2 linked regions of the Drosophila melanogaster genome follow. The protein of the gene in region 1 interacts with the protein of each later gene in a pairwise test. Each region holds a gene or a part of one and is shown on either strand. Other genes may lie near its edges.

Evidence for each region.
Region 2: the proteins of Lrpprc2 (region 1) and RanBPM interact in a two-hybrid assay, tested with the Drosophila melanogaster proteins (one large-scale study listed by BioGRID).

The regions. Positions count from the first base shown.
Region 1 is NC_004354.4:1,455,494-1,463,271, reverse strand, and holds Lrpprc2 (Leucine-rich pentatricopeptide repeat containing 2), read left to right. Parts: upstream 1-2,654; 5' UTR 2,655-2,713; coding exon 2,714-5,009; intron 5,010-5,070; coding exon 5,071-5,993; 3' UTR 5,994-6,097; downstream 6,098-7,778. Other genes in the region: Ns3 (nucleostemin 3), read left to right, coding at 1-626, 694-899, 960-1,178; CG14787 (uncharacterized protein), read left to right, coding at 1,627-2,409; CG14785 (uncharacterized protein), read left to right, coding at 6,326-7,249, 7,323-7,522, 7,577-7,778.
Region 2 is NT_033778.4:10,427,402-10,437,061, forward strand, and holds RanBPM (Ran-binding protein M), read left to right. Parts: upstream 1-2,310; 5' UTR 2,311-2,382; intron 2,383-2,603; exon of another isoform or gene 2,604-2,672; intron 2,673-3,132; 5' UTR 3,133-3,184; coding exon 3,185-4,514; intron 4,515-5,637; coding exon 5,638-5,802; intron 5,803-5,870; coding exon of another isoform or gene 5,871-5,873; coding exon 5,874-6,064; intron 6,065-6,140; coding exon 6,141-6,322; intron 6,323-6,385; coding exon 6,386-6,498; intron 6,499-6,559; coding exon 6,560-6,711; intron 6,712-6,769; coding exon 6,770-6,972; intron 6,973-7,025; coding exon 7,026-7,189; intron 7,190-7,235; coding exon of another isoform or gene 7,236-7,244; coding exon 7,245-7,384; intron 7,385-7,516; coding exon 7,517-7,628; intron 7,629-7,684; coding exon 7,685-7,821; coding exon of another isoform or gene 7,822-8,322; 3' UTR 8,323-9,180; downstream 9,181-9,660. Other genes in the region: CG12896 (uncharacterized protein), read right to left, coding at 1-273, 336-418; CG12895 (uncharacterized protein), read right to left, coding at 9,348-9,618. UniProt on the Drosophila melanogaster protein: May be involved in JAK/STAT signaling. Isoform D is required for the proper arrangement of niche cells and is autonomously required for proper niche cell size, isoform C negatively regulates the adhesive properties of the niche.

The sequences.
Region 1 (7,778 bases):
GGATTCCTTTCCCGAGGTGCAACAGCTGCGCAGAGCAGTTGAGGAGATAAAACAGTCGTTGGATAGCGTGGAGGACGCTTTGAACGTTATCGAGCAGAAATATAAGACGATTCCCGAGACTCAAAACGATGAGCTGCCACGATTGCCCGGGGACAAGAACAGTCCCCGACTGCTGTCCCGCCTGGAGCTCATTGAGTTCCTGCGAAACATCTACACCGGTCCCCGGCACACAGAGCAGCACGTGACCGTCGGAATGGTCGGCTACCCAAACGTTGGCAAAAGTAGCACCATCAACTCGCTGATGACAGTGAAGAAGGTGTCCGTTTCGGCCACGCCGGGCAAAACTAAACGCTTCCAGACGCTTTTCCTGGACAAGGACATACTGCTCTGCGACTGTCCCGGTCTGGTGATGCCGAGTTTTGTGTTAACCAAGGCGGACATGTTGCTCAACGGCATCCTGCCCATTGACCAAATGCGCGATCACGTTCCCGCCGTCAACTTGCTGTGCGAGCGCATTCCGCGCCACGTCCTTGAAGACAAATACGGTATTGTGATAGCCAAGCCGCTGGAAGGCGAGGACATGGAAAGGCCACCGCATTCGGAGGAGCTGCTGCTGGCTTATGGATGTAAGTGCCAATGCTTTGCGCACGCATTTCAGTATTTCACAACGCACTCTTTCTCGCTCTTTTCCAGACAATCGCGGTTTTATGACCTCCAACGGGCAGCCGGATCAGGCGCGTTCCGCCAGGTATGTGCTTAAAGACTACGTCAATGGCAGACTGCTCTACGCCATGAGCCCGCCCTCTGTACCGCAGACCGAGTATCACACCTTTCCCGAACGCCAGCGCAGGGTCATCGAGGAATCACAGCTGCCCGGCCAACAGCAGCGAGCCATGCGGGTGAGATTTGCCCTTTGCACTAGACGTGATTCCTTTGCTAACTGATCGCGTTTTCCGCAGATCAACAAAAGCACGTCCAAGGAGCTAGACAACCAATTCTTCTCCGACAAGCCTACGCACGCCCACGTCAAAGGACGCACTAACTTCCCTAACGTGCGCCTGGCCAACGACGGGTCCCTAGTAGCCGGCAATGATCCGGCGGCCAAGCCCTGGCGTCATGTGAAGAAGGAGAGGCGCGAGAAGCTGCGCAAAAAGTTCTCGCACCTGGACGAGCACTGATTGTAGCCCATTAGTTATTTATTCCGAAGGGTGTGTCTAAGAGGCACTTGTACATTTTAAGCATTAAACCTACGTATATACATATATATTAAAGTCCCCCCGACTTCGAGAGTTTGAAGGCCCACAATCTCAGACTGAAAGAGTTATATTGCGCAACTAGCAGATTGAGAGAAACATAGATAAGCCATCTGATGGCCCAGCCTGGACACAACGATTAACACAAAGATAGCATATATTTAGCATACACACCAATGAAAGCAAACTGTTGTTGGAATGGCGCCCCCAATTGAGTTTAAGAGATGCGTGAATGGAAGGTAATTTCGAGATGCGGAGGAGCGCAGTTGCGCGGAGAAAAGAAGCCTGCACTTTGACCGCGTGATAAGCGCAGATGCTTACGGCTCTTGTCTTCTATCACTTGGCCACAGTCTCTATCACGCAGTCTTCAGCGATGGCCACAAACGAGAGCTGCAAGCACTTCAGGGAGCTGGTCGTCGAACAGCGTTCTGGGCTGCTCCACATACGCTTCCAGCGGCGCTGGCAACGCCGAACCCTCTACGAGCTGATGCGCGCCCTGGACCTGGCGAGTGCAGACGCCGCCGTTAAGGTGGTCGTGCTCTCGGGCGAGTTTTCTGCAGCATGTGGCGGTGAGATGGAACCGTTGGCTCTCAAACAGGGTCTGGAGAATAGGAGTAGGCGTACCGCTTCCCACGAAGAAGCTGTGGGCAGTGGTGATGCCGAGGAGCAGTACATCCATGAGAAGGCGGCCAATTTTGTGATGCGCTCGCTGGCCAAGAAGCTGCTTGTGCACCGCAAACTCCTAGTGGCTTTTGTGGAGAGGCAGTGCGTCGGTCTGGGCCTGAGCGTGTGCAGCCTGTGCGATCTGGTCTTCGCAACGGAGTTATCTGCCTTTGTGCCCGCTTTCTCGCACCTGGATCCCTGCACCAAGGTGGGTCCCGGCTGGACTGTGCCACACGTCCACTGGCTGCTTCGTCTGGGCGATCAAGCGAGCTCCAGCATTGCCCTCCAGTGTGGCCTTGTGGCCAGTGTGGTGCGAGAGCCGCAGGAGTTTTGGCACCGCGTCGACCAATACTTGCGCTTGCCTTCCGCCTCCCTGTTGGCGACAAAGCGCCTCCTGTTTCGTCCCTGGCAGGACTCCCTCTTGGCCGAATTGCGCGAGGAGGGCACTCCGCTGGCTGCGCAGCGACGCCGCTTGGCCAGATCCTCGCTGTAGGGTTGCGCTTCCAGATCCGTTGAATCGATTAAGTAAATAAATAGCGATTATAAAATAATGACATGTCCCCATGGTATTTCTTTTCATTCCTTTCATTGGAGCTCCATGACTTAACTTAAACTTTAAATCAAAATCTGCAACGGAAACGGGTATGCATATACAGATGGGCAGCACTGTTTTCGATATCTTTCGACTGGAAGGCACAGCTGATTGCCGGCGCGTGTTGTTTTTTTTTTGTTGCTCGCCGCAAAACTGCGAAAGTAAAATCTCGTAATTTTGGGGAAGATTAATTAACTTGGGCAAAATGCAGCGAGCACGACTGTTGCGGAACGTGTGGCTCTGCAGGCAGCGCTTGGGCCATCTGCCAGGACGCAGCGCTTCCTCCGCCAGCCTGGCATTCCGTTATGCAACGAAGCCTGCGGCGCCAGCGGTGCCGTTCTCGCTGCTCCAGATGCGATCCCTGGGAACGGGTGGCGTCCTCAGTGCGGTGGAGCGAAGAAGCCGGCGCCCCGCCTCCTCCTCTGAAAAACCGAAAGCCAGCGTGGCGGATGCGTGGACACAGCTGGAGGCGTACTACCGGCAGCACGATCTGATCAACTTTGAGCACTGCCAGCGCCTGCTGGAGCTCCTGCAGGAGTCTGCGTCGCCGCTAGGAGTCGGCATCGAAGAGGTGCACTTCCTTCTAGGGTCCTGTGTGCCCGAACTGCTTCCTGCTCAGAGCAGCCAGGAGCGTCTTCAGCTCTTCAAGGGACTCTGGGCTCAACTGATCAAGTTGGGCCAGCCCACGCTGGCACATTACCACACGAAGCTCCAGGTGCTGCGCCAGAACCGTTTGCCTCTGACTGACTATCGCTCGTTGCTGGCGGAGATTGCCGTCTACCATGGAGCAGCCGATTCCACCTTGTACGGCGCTCTTTTGGACGTGGCCGGCGCCGCCGGAAACATGCGCATGGCCACCGAGATTTTGTCGGAGATGCGCGAGCGCAGCCTCGCCCTCACGGAGCACAACTTTCACGCCCTGCTTTTGGGCCACGCCCGCAGCGGTGATCTGCCCGGGGCGGAGTCCGTCCTAGCCAGCATGCGGGCCGCAGGAATACAGCAAGGCAGCAGCACTCAGGCCATTTGGTTCGAGGCTCTGCTGGAAAACGGTCAGTTGGCACAGGCCAAGGAGCTGCTGCAGGTGGAGCACGGATTCACCGCCCCTCAGCTGCTCCAGATGCTGCGGGGTCTGCTCGCCAGCAAGGATGTCGACACGGATCTAATCCAACTGCTTGTCAAGGAACTGCCCCGCGAGTTTCTAACAGGTATCGACCTGCCGCCCGCCATCAGAAGCCTGTGCATTCAGCTGGTGCACCAAGGACGCACCGAAGTCGTCATACAGCTCGTAGGTGCGTTGCCCGCTCCGAAGTTCGAGTTGCAGAATCAGAACGTGGATGAGTACGGTGCACTTCTGCTGCAGGAGTTCTTCCGCGCCCAAGTTCCGTTGGACCAAACAATCCAGTTCGCCGGTCAACTAGTGCAGCGGAACCAGAACGTCCGCGCCCTGCATTTGGTGGCGGAGTTGGCCCTTCGCCGTCAGCCATCATCCGCGCTACGCTGCCTGGAGGATCTATCTGCAGCCGGCGAGGAACTTCGTCCGCATTACTTCTGGCCCCTGATCTTGCACCATTACCGGCGGGAGGGCGAAAGCGGCATGCTACGCCTGGTTTCTGAAATGCGGCGCCTGCGCGTTGAGTGCGACGAGGAAACGTTGCGGCACTACCTGTTTCCCCACCTGCGCCAAACCCTGGTGCAGCCCTTGGAGGCCGTGAAGGCACTTGAATCGGCGGGGGTCAAGCCTTCCCAGACCCTGTGCCCGGTTGTGAGCCACTTGCTGCAGCAGCATCAGATGTCCGAGGTGCTGGACTTGCTTGATCGGTATCCGACACGCTTGGACCTGGCCACGCTGCTCCAACCACTTTCTTCGCTGGCGGTCAATGCCCGTGCCACGAAGCGTTTCGAGGTATTTGCCAAAGTGATCCAAGCCCTGCAGCAGAAGGCACTCAAACGGGGAGAAGATTTTGTGGGCTCCTTGCTGCTGCAAATGACTGGACCTCAGACGCGTCTGCGCCAGGATGCCACCTCGTTGCGACGTTTTCTGCACGAACTGAGACGCCTAGAGCTACAAATCTCACCCGCTGCCTCCGAAGCTCTACTCTCCGTGGTCCGGCACGCCACTGATGACGTTGACCTCATCCAGGATCTGGCCAAAACGCTGCAGAAGATGAAAAACCCACAGCTCGCCCTGCCAGCTGACACGGTCTCGCTCCACGGAGGCTTCATCAAGCACCCGCGCGACATGAGCATAGACGAGCTCGAGTGCCACCTAGTCGAGCTGGAGTCCAAGCAGCTGAACCCGCGAGGCGTGTTGCGTCGCTTGCTGCAGCTCTCGGTGCGCAGTGGGCGCTTGGAGCGCGCACAGCAGCTGTTGGCCAAGTGCCAAGTTCTGAAGGTTCAGGAAAGCGCAGGCATGATGGCCTCCATATTCGACCTACACATCAAGCTGCGCGACTTGCCGCGCGCCCAGGAGAGCTTGGAGCGACTGAGCAGCATGTATCCAGGTACCTAACAACTTACTACTAGATGTGAACTGCATTAATCCGCATACCGTTCTCTCTTAAGCCTTTCAGATTGACGAGCACAAAGTGATCGACTATGCCGCCCTCCTGGTCCAAGGCCAGCAGCTGGAGGCCGCAAAGCAGCTGCTCCAGCGACGCGCGGAGCAGCATAAGGTTGTCGGTGGCGACTATGTGATGAAGAACGTATGGCAATTGCTGACCAACGTGGGCCAGCTGGCCGCCTCTTCACATGCAGGTGGCGAGAGCTCCAAACAACTTAACCAGACTCGCGAGTGGTTGGACTTCCTCAGGGGTCTGGGCTACTGTCAATCGCAAAATGCCCTACTGGGACCAGTGGTCCGCGAGTGGCTGTTGAAGGGCAACTTGGACGCTGCGGTGGCCGAGTTTCAGCGACTGGCTAACACTCACAAGCACACGCCTCTGCAGTTCGAGCTCTTGTCCCTGCTGGTGCGACTGGGCAACGGGGACGAGCAGGAGCTGACCCGTTTTCCCGGCGTCACGGCCGAGTCCGCGCAGCAGCACCTAGCGGTGGTTACTGCGACTGTGAGTCGCATCCACGGAGCGGCCAATATGAACAGCGCTCTGCTGCTCGCCCTGGCCGAATCCGGAAAGGAGACACAGCTGCGCCGGCTGATCATCAACCCAGAGTTCCGCATCAACCACGAGCTCCTCGTGAAGAATTGCGAGCACTTGGGACAGGAGGGCGCTGTGCGGACGCTCCTGCGGCTGGCGCGCGGAGTGAGGGGTGTCCAGCGGACCATAGACGAGCAGAAGATCTACGACCTCCTGTTGGCCCAGTTCTGCCGTAGCAACGACTACGAGGCGGCGTTGGATCTCTTTGAGCGCTTGGAGGCCGACGACGAGCTGAAGGTGTCGCATGAGTTCCTTCGCAACCTTGTGCAGCTGCTGCAGGTGAACCAGGTTGAAATTCCCAGTACAATCGCCCTGCGCGCCCACGTTAGATAGCCGGGCGACGAGATAGATAGATCGTCGCTCTTATCCTTAGTTATACACTTGGTATGTATGTACACACATAAATTAGTGCAGTAAATACGAGACGGTATACCTGCAAGTCTGAAAGATCTTTTATAGCTTCTGGGTGTCCTGGTGCCACGTCTAGTAGGCCTGGCTTTTGAAACCTATTGTCATCTGGAATCTGTGCTCCGAAACGGTCACAAAGTTTTCACTCGTAGCATACAACAGTCTCCTAACAGCTTCTCCGAAACCCACTCCCAATCTAAATTTTAGTTTTTATTCGCGTTCAATCTGTGCAAGTTGCAACCCCTCCCTATCCAACCATGAAGCGGCTGTCCCGACGTCCGGTCTCCGATGAGCAGAAGGCCCAGATGGGCAACCAGATTCATGAGCAGGGCGCAATAGAGGTATTCATGTCGGTGGCCACCGTCTCGCCGCTACTCCGAACGCGGGTCCTTCCGCAGCTAAAGGATCAACAGGATCAGCTGAAGGACAAAAAGCAGGACCGCAGGCCGAAACCGGAGCCAGAGAAACTCGAGAGCGGCGCTCAGGGCGACGCCGGTTCCGCTTCCTCGACGTCGGCCCACGCTGTAAAGCTCTTGCCAATCGAGGGAGATCCAGCCAAGCTGAAGGCGCTGACCAGCCGCCAGCAAATTGCCAGCCTGCTCAATCACCTCGGCGACGGCGCAGAGGGCGATGGCGAGGCCAAGCAGATCGTGATGGAGCTGCTCGGCAGCGGGGTGCAGCCGCACTCGGCCATCGAGCGCGTTTCCGAACAGCTGTTGCACGTGCTGCGGGAGCAGACTCTGATGGAGGCCGGCATATTCGTCGGCAATGAGCGGTATCGCTTCTTTAAGGGCGTGCTGCAGAACTACGCCAAGATATACGCGGCGCGCAAATTTATAGATAAGCTGCCGAAGCTAGATCAGCTTGGCCCGGATGCGGGTGCGGAGCGCGAGCTGTTCGCCCGCGTCGTTGCGGAGGAGGTGCTGCAGATCCCGCAGCTGCTGCGCCAGCTGAGGTCGTCCCTGTCGAAGATGGAGTTCTTCAACGAGGACACCGCCTTCAAGGCCTACCTGGAAGTCCGTTATCACCCGCAGGCCCGTATCCTGTGCGAACTAATGCTCACCCGCATCTCTCGCGTCTTCCTCTGCATTGTCGGCTCACCATTCTTCCTGTACTTCACCGAGCACGAGCTCACGCACATCTTGCGAAACTGTTACCTCAGCGTCAACTCGGAGATCGAGGTGAGATCGTCAAATCATTTCCGTGTGGTCACTGGGTCATTCTCCTTCTAATTCAAACGATAACCATCGGCAGATATTCCTTTCCGTGGTGCTCTGGCTGGAGCACAACTGGCTTGAGCGCGGCGACTGCGCCGAGCGCATCTTAGCCGAGGTGCATTTCGCCTTGATGCCGACTTGGTACTTGTGCACCCTGGACAGGTCCAACCGGTGCAACCACTTTGCCCGAGTAATCCACAGTCCCGGCGTGCAACGCTTGATTGCCGCAGGCCTAGAGTAGGTTCCATTCTTGGGGGTTTGTACATCGCTTACGTGAACTGTTTCCCCCAGAGACGCCATCACCCTCAAGTCTAAGCCCCGCTTCAGTGGCGCCGCTTTACACCGACAACGAAAGCATCAGGAGGAGAGGCTCTTGGTCCGCGACTGGATAGTGGATACTGAGTGCAGCCACCACCATAAGAGCCACTGCGAGCAGTTCGTTTACCCCACCTACGACGCGTTCAAAGAATACCTGGCCAGGATTATCTGCTGC
Region 2 (9,660 bases), on another chromosome or scaffold:
TCCTTCTTCTGCTCCTCGTCGAGCATGCCCAGGGTGACGGCCAGGTCGCGAGTAGGGTCGGCGATGATCGGGTAGGGGAAGTCCCCGGGAATGTCCAGGCAATAGCTCTTGATGTCGTTCACCCAGTCCACGTGCGAGTTCAATGCGTCAACGGAATGCGCCAGGCACTTGGTGTTCCGCTTGGCAAACTCCGGCTGGTGCACCGCAATCCTGCCCAGCTCAGTGGTGCAGACGGGAGTGAAGTCGGCGGGGTGAGAGAAGAGCACCACCCAGCTGGCGATCCGAAGGAGAATTGGTAAGATTCGATCAGAGAAAAAGGGTTTGATGGCACTTACGAGTTGCCCTGCCACTCGTGGAATTTAATGGGCCCCTTGGTTGTGTCGGCCTCGAAGTTAGGTACGGTCTGTCCCAAACGCATCTTGCTGTTTGATTTTTAGTTTCACTTGGAAAAAAACTTGTTAGTTGCTCAGCTGGTAGCTGTTATTAGCTCGCACACTTGTTGCTTACTGAATACTGACTGGGAGAGCTCGCTGTCTTTTATACCCGACTGGATCAATTTGATGAAAGGGGACCGATAGAGACAGAGAACGGGAGCTGGCTTATCGTATCATATATGTACATATGTATGTTTGTATGTATAGTACGTGGTGCTGCGGGTAGACTAACAAACAACTCAGTGATAATTGGGGACATTGTGAGGGGAAAGATGAGGCCTCGTACGGGGTCTCCATATTTGTGTGAACCTCAAGAGGGGCCTTAAAAAAACCTGTTTGGGGCGTCACACAAAAATGGACTCTGTGACGAACACATTTTAGATGTAACGCAAAATGAAGTACAGTTTCGCATATTTCTTTTAATTTAAACTTGTTCGAATAAATCAATCAGTCCAGAACCAATTCCTTCAGGATCTAGTATCAAAACAGCTGATTTGATGCAGTTGACGGTTTTGCCGGCTCCAAACATAAACAGAGAGCGAGAGCGCATTTAAATGTTAAATGGTGTTGGTAAACAGAGGCGAAGCACCAACACCTGCAAACATACAGCCACGCCGATAGGCGGATATTGAGAGCGAGAGAGCGGCGAGCAACGTGATGGTATTTGTGAGTGCCTGCAAAAATCGCACACTTCCATAGATCGCACGGCTCTCCCGTTCACGTACAGAAAACGAGCCTCTAATTGAAAGTGAAGAGCGAGTGAAATCGTGAGACTGTGTGCGTGGGTCTATCGAAAATTAGCACACCAGCATAGGTTTTCTCTCAGTAAGTCACACATAAAGATGGAATGGATTTGGGAAGTCGGATGGGCAGATCGCTCATTCAGAAGGCAAAAGACAGTACGCATGAAAGCAGCCCAAATAGGAATCATATGGTTAAAATTCAATATCTAGTCATAATGGATACCAAAAATGCAACAATTGATAAGTTTAATTAGAAGAGTTCCCTCCCAGTAGCTCGATCGTGTTTCATAAGTTACAAGTACAGTTTTTGTGCTAGTGTATAAAGTCTAATCAAGAATCCAGCAACATTCGTCTCTACACCAGACGTGTGGTAATTTTCCACTGTTTATTATCAGTTACGTGATAGGATTTCTATTCGGAAAGGAAGTAACTAAAATACAGAGTGAAGGTTGAGGCGAAACGAACAAGAACGATTAGAAGAGTGAGATAGAAAGTGTCAAAGCATTTGAGAGAAGCCGTAGAGCGAACCGGTAAATTCTGCAGCATCGATAGTCTGTCAATCGAATCGAATCTTTTGAATTTATGGCGGTTTTTTTTACCAGTGCAGCGATCTCTTAATTACATTCTGGGCAGAGTACTAGAAATCACTAAAGTTTTTTGCGCTGATGCATTTTTAAATCTGGTTTCAATGTAAAACGCGTATGTTTGACATTCGTCATACTTTTATACCATAGGCAGAAGTTTCTAAGTAATAATTGCCCTTAATATTCTTATCGGTATGGCGTAAAGTATGCGCTAAAAATAGATAATATGATCTTTTTTTATAATTTAAACCAATATTTAAAAGATTAAATTAGCATTAAAAAACATAACGAATTACGTAAGGTTTAATTTTACCCAAAAAATAAGATTGCTAGCAATAGTGCAATAATACCCTCCAAAAGTATTGTCAAGGGTTTTACCTAAAAACATTTTAAGATTTTAATGGCACTTTGGGAAGTGTGTTACTGCTTATCAAATTTTGAATTTAGGCGCCTAAAGAGATTTATTCGATAAGAATAATCGATAGCTGCCGAGCGCACTCTGATGTTGTCAGGTGTCGGAATAGATATCGATATCATCGAATGAACATCGGCTTTTGTTCCAGCTCTATAGCATAAAGTCAAAACTTCGTAGATTTAACAACTCATAGCAATCGTTTGAAGGTAAATATAAGGAAATATCAACTGTAGATCCGATCAACAGCATAGAATGACAGCCAAATCGAATTCATCAGCTAAATAAAACCCCAACAAAGATCATTTGCCCCAGCTAAAAAAAAATGATAATTTTCTTCTCTGCGTGTGGGAGCTGCGAGTGTGTGTGCTTGCTGCATGCATATATGCGTGTGTGCGAGAGGGAGAGAGTGCTGCCAGTGTGTGAGCTGGTGCTTGTTTGTGTGTGTGTGGACAGTGACTCGTTGGTTAGAAGGGAAAACAAAGAAAACTTCAGAAAAGTACGACGTAAAAAGGCATTTACAAATGTAGAATAATCAAAACTGACTTGCTAGCAATGTTAAAAAGTGCAGAAAGCATTGGCTAATATCGTTTGGCTATTGATTTTTTGCATTTTCGTGCATGCAATTTTGTAGCTGTAGTTGTTGCTGTTGTATTTTTTTGTGCTGCAGCTGCGCGTCGCAACTGTAAACTGCTGTTGCTGTTGTTGTTTGTATTTTGGGTCAGTTAACGAAAGAGAGTGCACGAGTGATTGAGAGAGTGCGAATGAGGTGAACGGTGTAACGGACAAAGGACATTGCATTTTGGAAGTTGTTTGTGTTTGCTAGCCTCCTTACCCCTCCCTTCGTCACTCCTCACGTATACACACACAGCATCTGCATATGCACTTCATCCGCTCTCTCTTGCTCGCTCGTTGCTGGCTCACTCTCTCTAATTCCTCGCTGAACGTCTCTCTCTCAGCCTCCTTTTGCAACCACAACAAGATAAACAACAACGACAACTCAACCATAACATGGAGAACGTCGAAGAGGCCCCGCCACTCTCTTCGGAGAGCAACAGCAATAGCAACAACAGCAGCGCCAGCAGCAGCTCTCACCAGCTCTCTCAATCGGGAGCCATGGGTGCCGAAATAGCCCCCTCTACGTCTCGGTCACACTCTCATTCGCCCACACCCTCGCCGCCCGTCCCCGCGTCCTCTCACGACCAACCCCATCCCGATCACCCTAGTCCCCCATTGAATGCATCTGAAACGGAAGCTCGCGAGAATTCACCACATGATCACTCACCCACTCCTACTTTCCACCAGACTGCACCGCCACCCACGACTTCATCGACGGCACCGCAGCGGGACGAGCGGGAGCAGCAGCAGCAGCAAGAGGCGCCACCATTGCAGCAGGATCAGCAGGAGAATTCGCCCGCGCAGGACCAGGAGCTGCACCCATTGCTGGATCAACAGAATCAAGAATATCCCGCAGTGCACCAAGATCAACAAGCGGAGCAAAACCAGGAGCTGCATCACATAGAGGGGCTTATTCGGCACCGAGAATCACAGAATCCGGAAGAGCATCCACCACAAGCATCGCTGGAAAACCGGGAGACATTAGGACGAGAAGATACCAACCAAGAACCGGATGAGCCGCAAGTTCGAGATCCCGAAATCGAACCAGAAGCCGAGCCACCGCCACCGCTGCTTCTCGAAGATCTGGACGAGCAGGACTCCGGATCGCAGGATCTTAACGAACAGCAGCCGCCACTGATTATAGACGCAAACGCTATAGCCGAGACCATAGACGCCAACGCCGTGGAGCGCATCGACGACTACGAAGACGACGACGAGGAGGTGGATGAAGAGGAGGAGGTGGTAGAGGACCGGGTCGACAGAGCCGGCGAAGTCGCTTCCGTTTCCGGTGCCCAGCGCCTGCACTCGGTGGCCGTTTTGCCGCGCTACTCCTCAGCCTCACGAGCCCCAAGGAGCAGCAACAATAACAACAACAATATCAGCAATCACAACAACAATAATAACAACAGCAACAGTAACAGCCTCTCGCGACGCACTCGTCACTTCTACAGCAACAACGGCAGTCACTTCAGCAACGACATGTTCCCCAGCCACAATCCCCGCAGCAGCACCCAGACATCATCGCCGCGGGTCGGTGGTCGCCGCCATCACTCGACCCCCGCCGCCAGCTCCAATTCGCCACAGCACCAGGGCGTGGATCCCCTAAGGCTGCTCTATCCCAATGTCAACGAGAGCGAGACTCCGCTGCCCAGGTGCTGGAGTCCCCATGACAAGTGCTTGTCCATCGGTTTGTCGCAGAACAACTTGAGGGTCACCTACAAGGGTGAGTAGGATTCGAACTTCTCTATAAATCAACTCTCCATTTCATACCATCTAAAATAGAAAGTAGGCAACGATCAGGCAACTATAAGATACAGATTTCTTAGGAGCTGTCATAGTTCAATTCTAAATCGGTTTCATATTGCCACTAATACGCACATTTCAATTTCGCAATGAAATGTAATAATTAAATATGCACTTACATAGATATAGTTACATAGATATGGAATAAATTGTAATAAGTTTGTCTACGCTGTAGCCAAGTATGAGTATCCAGGTGGTATAAGTGCCAGAGTTCATGGAGTTTATCTTTATTACAACGATTTGACTTTGTTCTTACATTTTCAAATTTGTATTGATCTAAAGCTAAAGAGACAGTATACAATATTTTAGCCCTTAAATCAAAACACCCGAATATAAGGCTAGCCCCTACTAAATTATTACTTGCATAGTTATTAATTGCATTATCGAAATTATTATTTATTCGAAATCCCATCCACAAAATCTAATATTTGTCTTGAAGGATGTAACTCAATGCAGTAGAAAGAAGAAGAGTCGTAGTGCAGCTGCAGTTTTCACTCTCTTTCGCTCTATCTCGCTCTGGCACACACACGCACAGGGCACAGACAGGTGCTCTCAGCTGTGCACTGGTGGTTTTTGTTTTTCATAACCCACTTCTCCCACGCTCATTCGCGTGGCTGTTAAACCGCTAACAGCAACAGCTGGCTTACCAGTGCGACATAACATGTAAAATGCGCGTAAAATGTATAAGTTATTACGTAGATGGTGCGTTGCATAGATGTAAAATGTATATTTAGGTTACTTTAATTTCAGGTAAAATATATAACTCAATAATTCGAAATATTTCATTTAAATTGATAAAATGTCTCATTATTGTTTCGACGTAGACTTAGGCCAAAAATCAGTTTTTTTATTTAGAGTATCAATTTTATTATTTTTATTGTCCAGATAACCAACTCATTCATTTATGTTAAGAACATATCCCATGTACTAAGTTCGAGAGTAGGAAGTTCATACCGAATGGATAAAAGAATATTGTCTTACTGCAATGCTATAGCATATAAAAATTGAGATCTGTCAAATACTGAAACCTCATGACTTTTTAGGTGTGGGCAAGCAGCACAGTGATGCCGCCTCAGTGCGCACTGCCTATCCGATCCCGTCCTCCTGCGGACTGTACTACTTCGAGGTGCGGATAATCTCCAAGGGACGCAACGGCTACATGGGCATTGGCCTAACTGCCCAGCAGTTCCGTATGAACCGCCTGCCAGGTTTGTGTTCCATTGTGCTGCTCGGCGAGATGTGCCCATGATTCCTAATAACCGCACCCCCCCTCAAGTAGGTTGGGACAAACAGTCGTACGGGTACCACGGCGACGATGGCAACTCGTTTAGCTCCTCGGGAAATGGCCAAACCTACGGCCCCACTTTTACCACCGGCGATGTGATTGGATGCTGCGTCAACTTTGTGAACAACACGTGCTTCTACACCAAGAACGGAGTGGATCTGGGCATCGCATTTAGGGATTTGCCGGTGCGTATTCAATGGAATTTTAAAACTACTTTATCTTCTAACTTTATGTTTGTTAATCTTTTTTTTTTTTGTTTAGACTAAGCTTTATCCCACTGTGGGCCTACAGACGCCTGGCGAGGAAGTGGATGCCAACTTTGGTCAGGAACCATTCAAGTTCGACAAGATCGTCGATATGATGAAGGAGATGCGCTCCAATGTGCTCCGCAAGATCGATCGATATCCACATCTGCTGGAGACCCCAGAAAACCTGATGAATCGGTGCGTTTTTGTTAAATGTGTTTAAAAATCATGGCTTAACCCAATGACTTCTAAATTGCTTAGCCTGGTTTCCACTTATTTGGTGCATAATGCGTTCAGCAAAACCGCCGAGGCCTTCAATGGCTACACAAATCAGACTTTCAACGAGGACTTGGCATCGATCAAGACACGTCAAAGTTCGTATATTTGCCATTTGAAATGACAACACACATGCCAACTTTAAATCCACTCTTCCAGAGATCATTAAGCTTATACTGACTGGCAAAATGAGCCAGGCCATCGAACATACACTACGTTCTTTCCCCGGACTCCTGGAAAATAATAAAAACCTCTGGTTCGCATTGAAGTGCCGCCAGTTCATTGAGATGATCAATGGAGCTGACATTGAGGTGGGTTTTTAAACATTACATGCGGAAGATAAGTAGAACCGGATGGTTTGTCTTACAGAACGTGAACAACAAAGTCACCGCCACCACACAGACCATGCCCACAAACCAGACGTCAGTGATACAGTCCACCAAGACGTTCAAGCACAGCAAGAGCGGCAGTGGAAATGGCAACGTCAACATAAATCAGACTCAACAACAGAACAACACTGCGATTCCAGCTGTGATAAAGCCACAAGGCGGCGATAGGCCAGATATAAAAAAGTAAGTCAAATGTAATACTTACTCCGATCTTTAATCACAACGTACTGTTCAAGCATGTTGGTTGACGACAACTCCAACAAGTGCGTGGAGCACGACAGCAACAGCATGGACGTAGAAATGGAGCCCTGCCAGAGTCACTCCAACGGCGGCGACTCGAGCTCCAATGGCAATGCCAGCGCAGTGCGCAACTCTCTAGATGCCATCGACGAGGAAATGGGTATGTATCTATTGGCGGCATTTCCGGGAAGATCCGTAATCCCTAGCACTTGCAGATGTAGATGTTTCCCCCTCATCGCGTAACTGTGGTCGTGTGATCGAGAAGATCCTTGAGTTCGGCAAGGAACTGTCCAGCATGGGCCAGCAGCTGGAGAAGGAGAACCTAATGACTGAAGAGGAGCGTCAAATGTTGGAGGTAAACTATAAAAATGTATAAACAATAGAAACTGGTATCTTGCAGACTAAGCACTCTTTGTATTTGAAAAATAACTTCAATAAGAATATGATTATCCGTAATCGAGAGATATTCAATTTATGGTTGTTACAGGATGCATTTAGTCTGATTGCCTACTCTAATCCTTGGTCCAGTCCGCTGGGCTGGTTGCTGTGTCCCTCGCGACGTGAGAGTGTTTCCACCACACTCAACTCGGCCATATTGGGTAAGTCTTTAAACACTTGTCTCGAAACGAAGTTACTAATTACTATGATTATGCAGAGTCCCTGAACTTCGAGCGTCGTCCGCCGCTGGAATACCTGGTGGCTCACGCCTCGGAGCTGATCAAGGTGATCGGACAGCACTCGCTGGGCGAGGACGCTTTCATTACCATCGACGATGTGTTCCCGCAAAATTGACCCAGTTCCCCGACGCTGCTGAAGATGTTCGAGACCACGCTGACCCTGCCGCGAACCAGTGTGCTTACGGAACCGTTGGGCAGCGCCGGAACCGGATCTGGGCCCTCCACATCAACGGCTGCCGTGGCAGTTCAGACCAGCAAACGACGCCGAAGGCGGCGTAACAAACGTCGCCGCAAATCCTCCCTGTCCAGCAATACCGATGCCCCGTCGTCGCGGACCTACGATCCCGTGATGACGGGCAGTACGCTCCGGTCGGCAGCTGTGGCATCGGTGGGCGGGGGCACGGGCACGGGACCAGTGCGTCGGGGTCGTCGCAGGAGCGGGGTCAGCTCATCTTCATCGGCGGCAGCGGCTGCAGCAGCGGCAGCGGAGGAGGAGGCGGAAGAAGCGGAAGCGGAGGCGGCTCGCCAGGAGGAGGAGGAAGCGGAAATCTTGAGCGGAAACAGCAGCCCATCGATGTTCGTCGATCCGCAGGACTTCTTCGAGACACTGGACTAAATTTAGATTATTTACAATTTGCAGTAGGTTAAATTTTGTTGTTACTTCCGTTCTCTTTCTTTTTTACCTGCGCAACCGGCTTCAGTGCGCCTATTTAAAACTAATCGCCGTTCTTTTAATTGTTCGATTATGCTAAAGATGCTATGCGTTTGGCGGCCTTTGATTTGGCGTGATTTTTAATAACTTTTAACATATATTTTATATAGCCTCTCTAAGCATAAAGTGTGTAATATTATGATGTATAATTAAATTTGCGAAATGTGCTGCGACACGACCCTTGAAATTGAATTAGCCCTTTGTTTTTCGCTTCCACCGCCCGAAACACAACAATCACACACCAAAATATAATCTAGAATTGATAGTGAAGGGACTAGCCTGGAGCAAAAGCTGTTCAATCATCTCCTTAGCATGTTAATATAGAACCGAATCCATAGTTAACTGGTAGACATTCGCGTTTTAATTCTCCGTGTTTTCAGCGATTTTCGATGGACTCCGCGCCATCCCGTGTCTTGTGGCAAGACTAAGCAAAAGCAAATGAACATTTTAAGTGTAATGTTTCGCTATAGTGTTTAAGCGTATTAAAATTTAATCTATATATACAAGATTGGTCATACACACATTCGGCAAACATGAATAGAATTTAACTGGATAATCGTTTAAATATATTGTATGGATGTGTATTTCAGGAAAGCGAGAACTGTGTTTTAAAGGGGGTTCAAATTGGATTAAATATATGCCATTCTGACAATGTGTTCAGTTTTATATATTAAAATTGTATCTTTTCAAATGTCATGATTTGTTGATTAAGCTGAAGTTTTCAACAAATAAAAATAAAAATGAAAGCACATTCAAATTACCAAATCACTTGCAACCGTATTATTTATTATTCCGTATAAATGATCGTTTTTAAATACCAGGTAAAATGCAAGTTCAAGTCATTGGTCTTTTAAGGATCAGGAGTAGAATAACACATTCATTTAATACATTGTTTTGTATGCTTATATATATAATATAGTTTATAATGTTCACAAATCCGGCTGCCTTATCCTTTGCACTTTTTCATGATTTTTGACGTGCTCCTTTAGCAGACGCATTATTTCGGTATCGAATTGAGGAGGTGTTGGCTTGGTATCGGTGGCCCAGTAGAATATATCCCAGTCGTTGCTGACACCATTGATCAACTGATCGTACTCGGCGGTCTGCTCGGCATTGAAGTCCTTCAAATGCTTGGCCACAAAAGTGCTCAGCAAGAGATCGTTTTCCAGCATTCCGCGTTTCCTGCTTTGATACAAAAGGCTGCACAAGATAATGAATGATCATAAGTAGGAGTTTGGGATA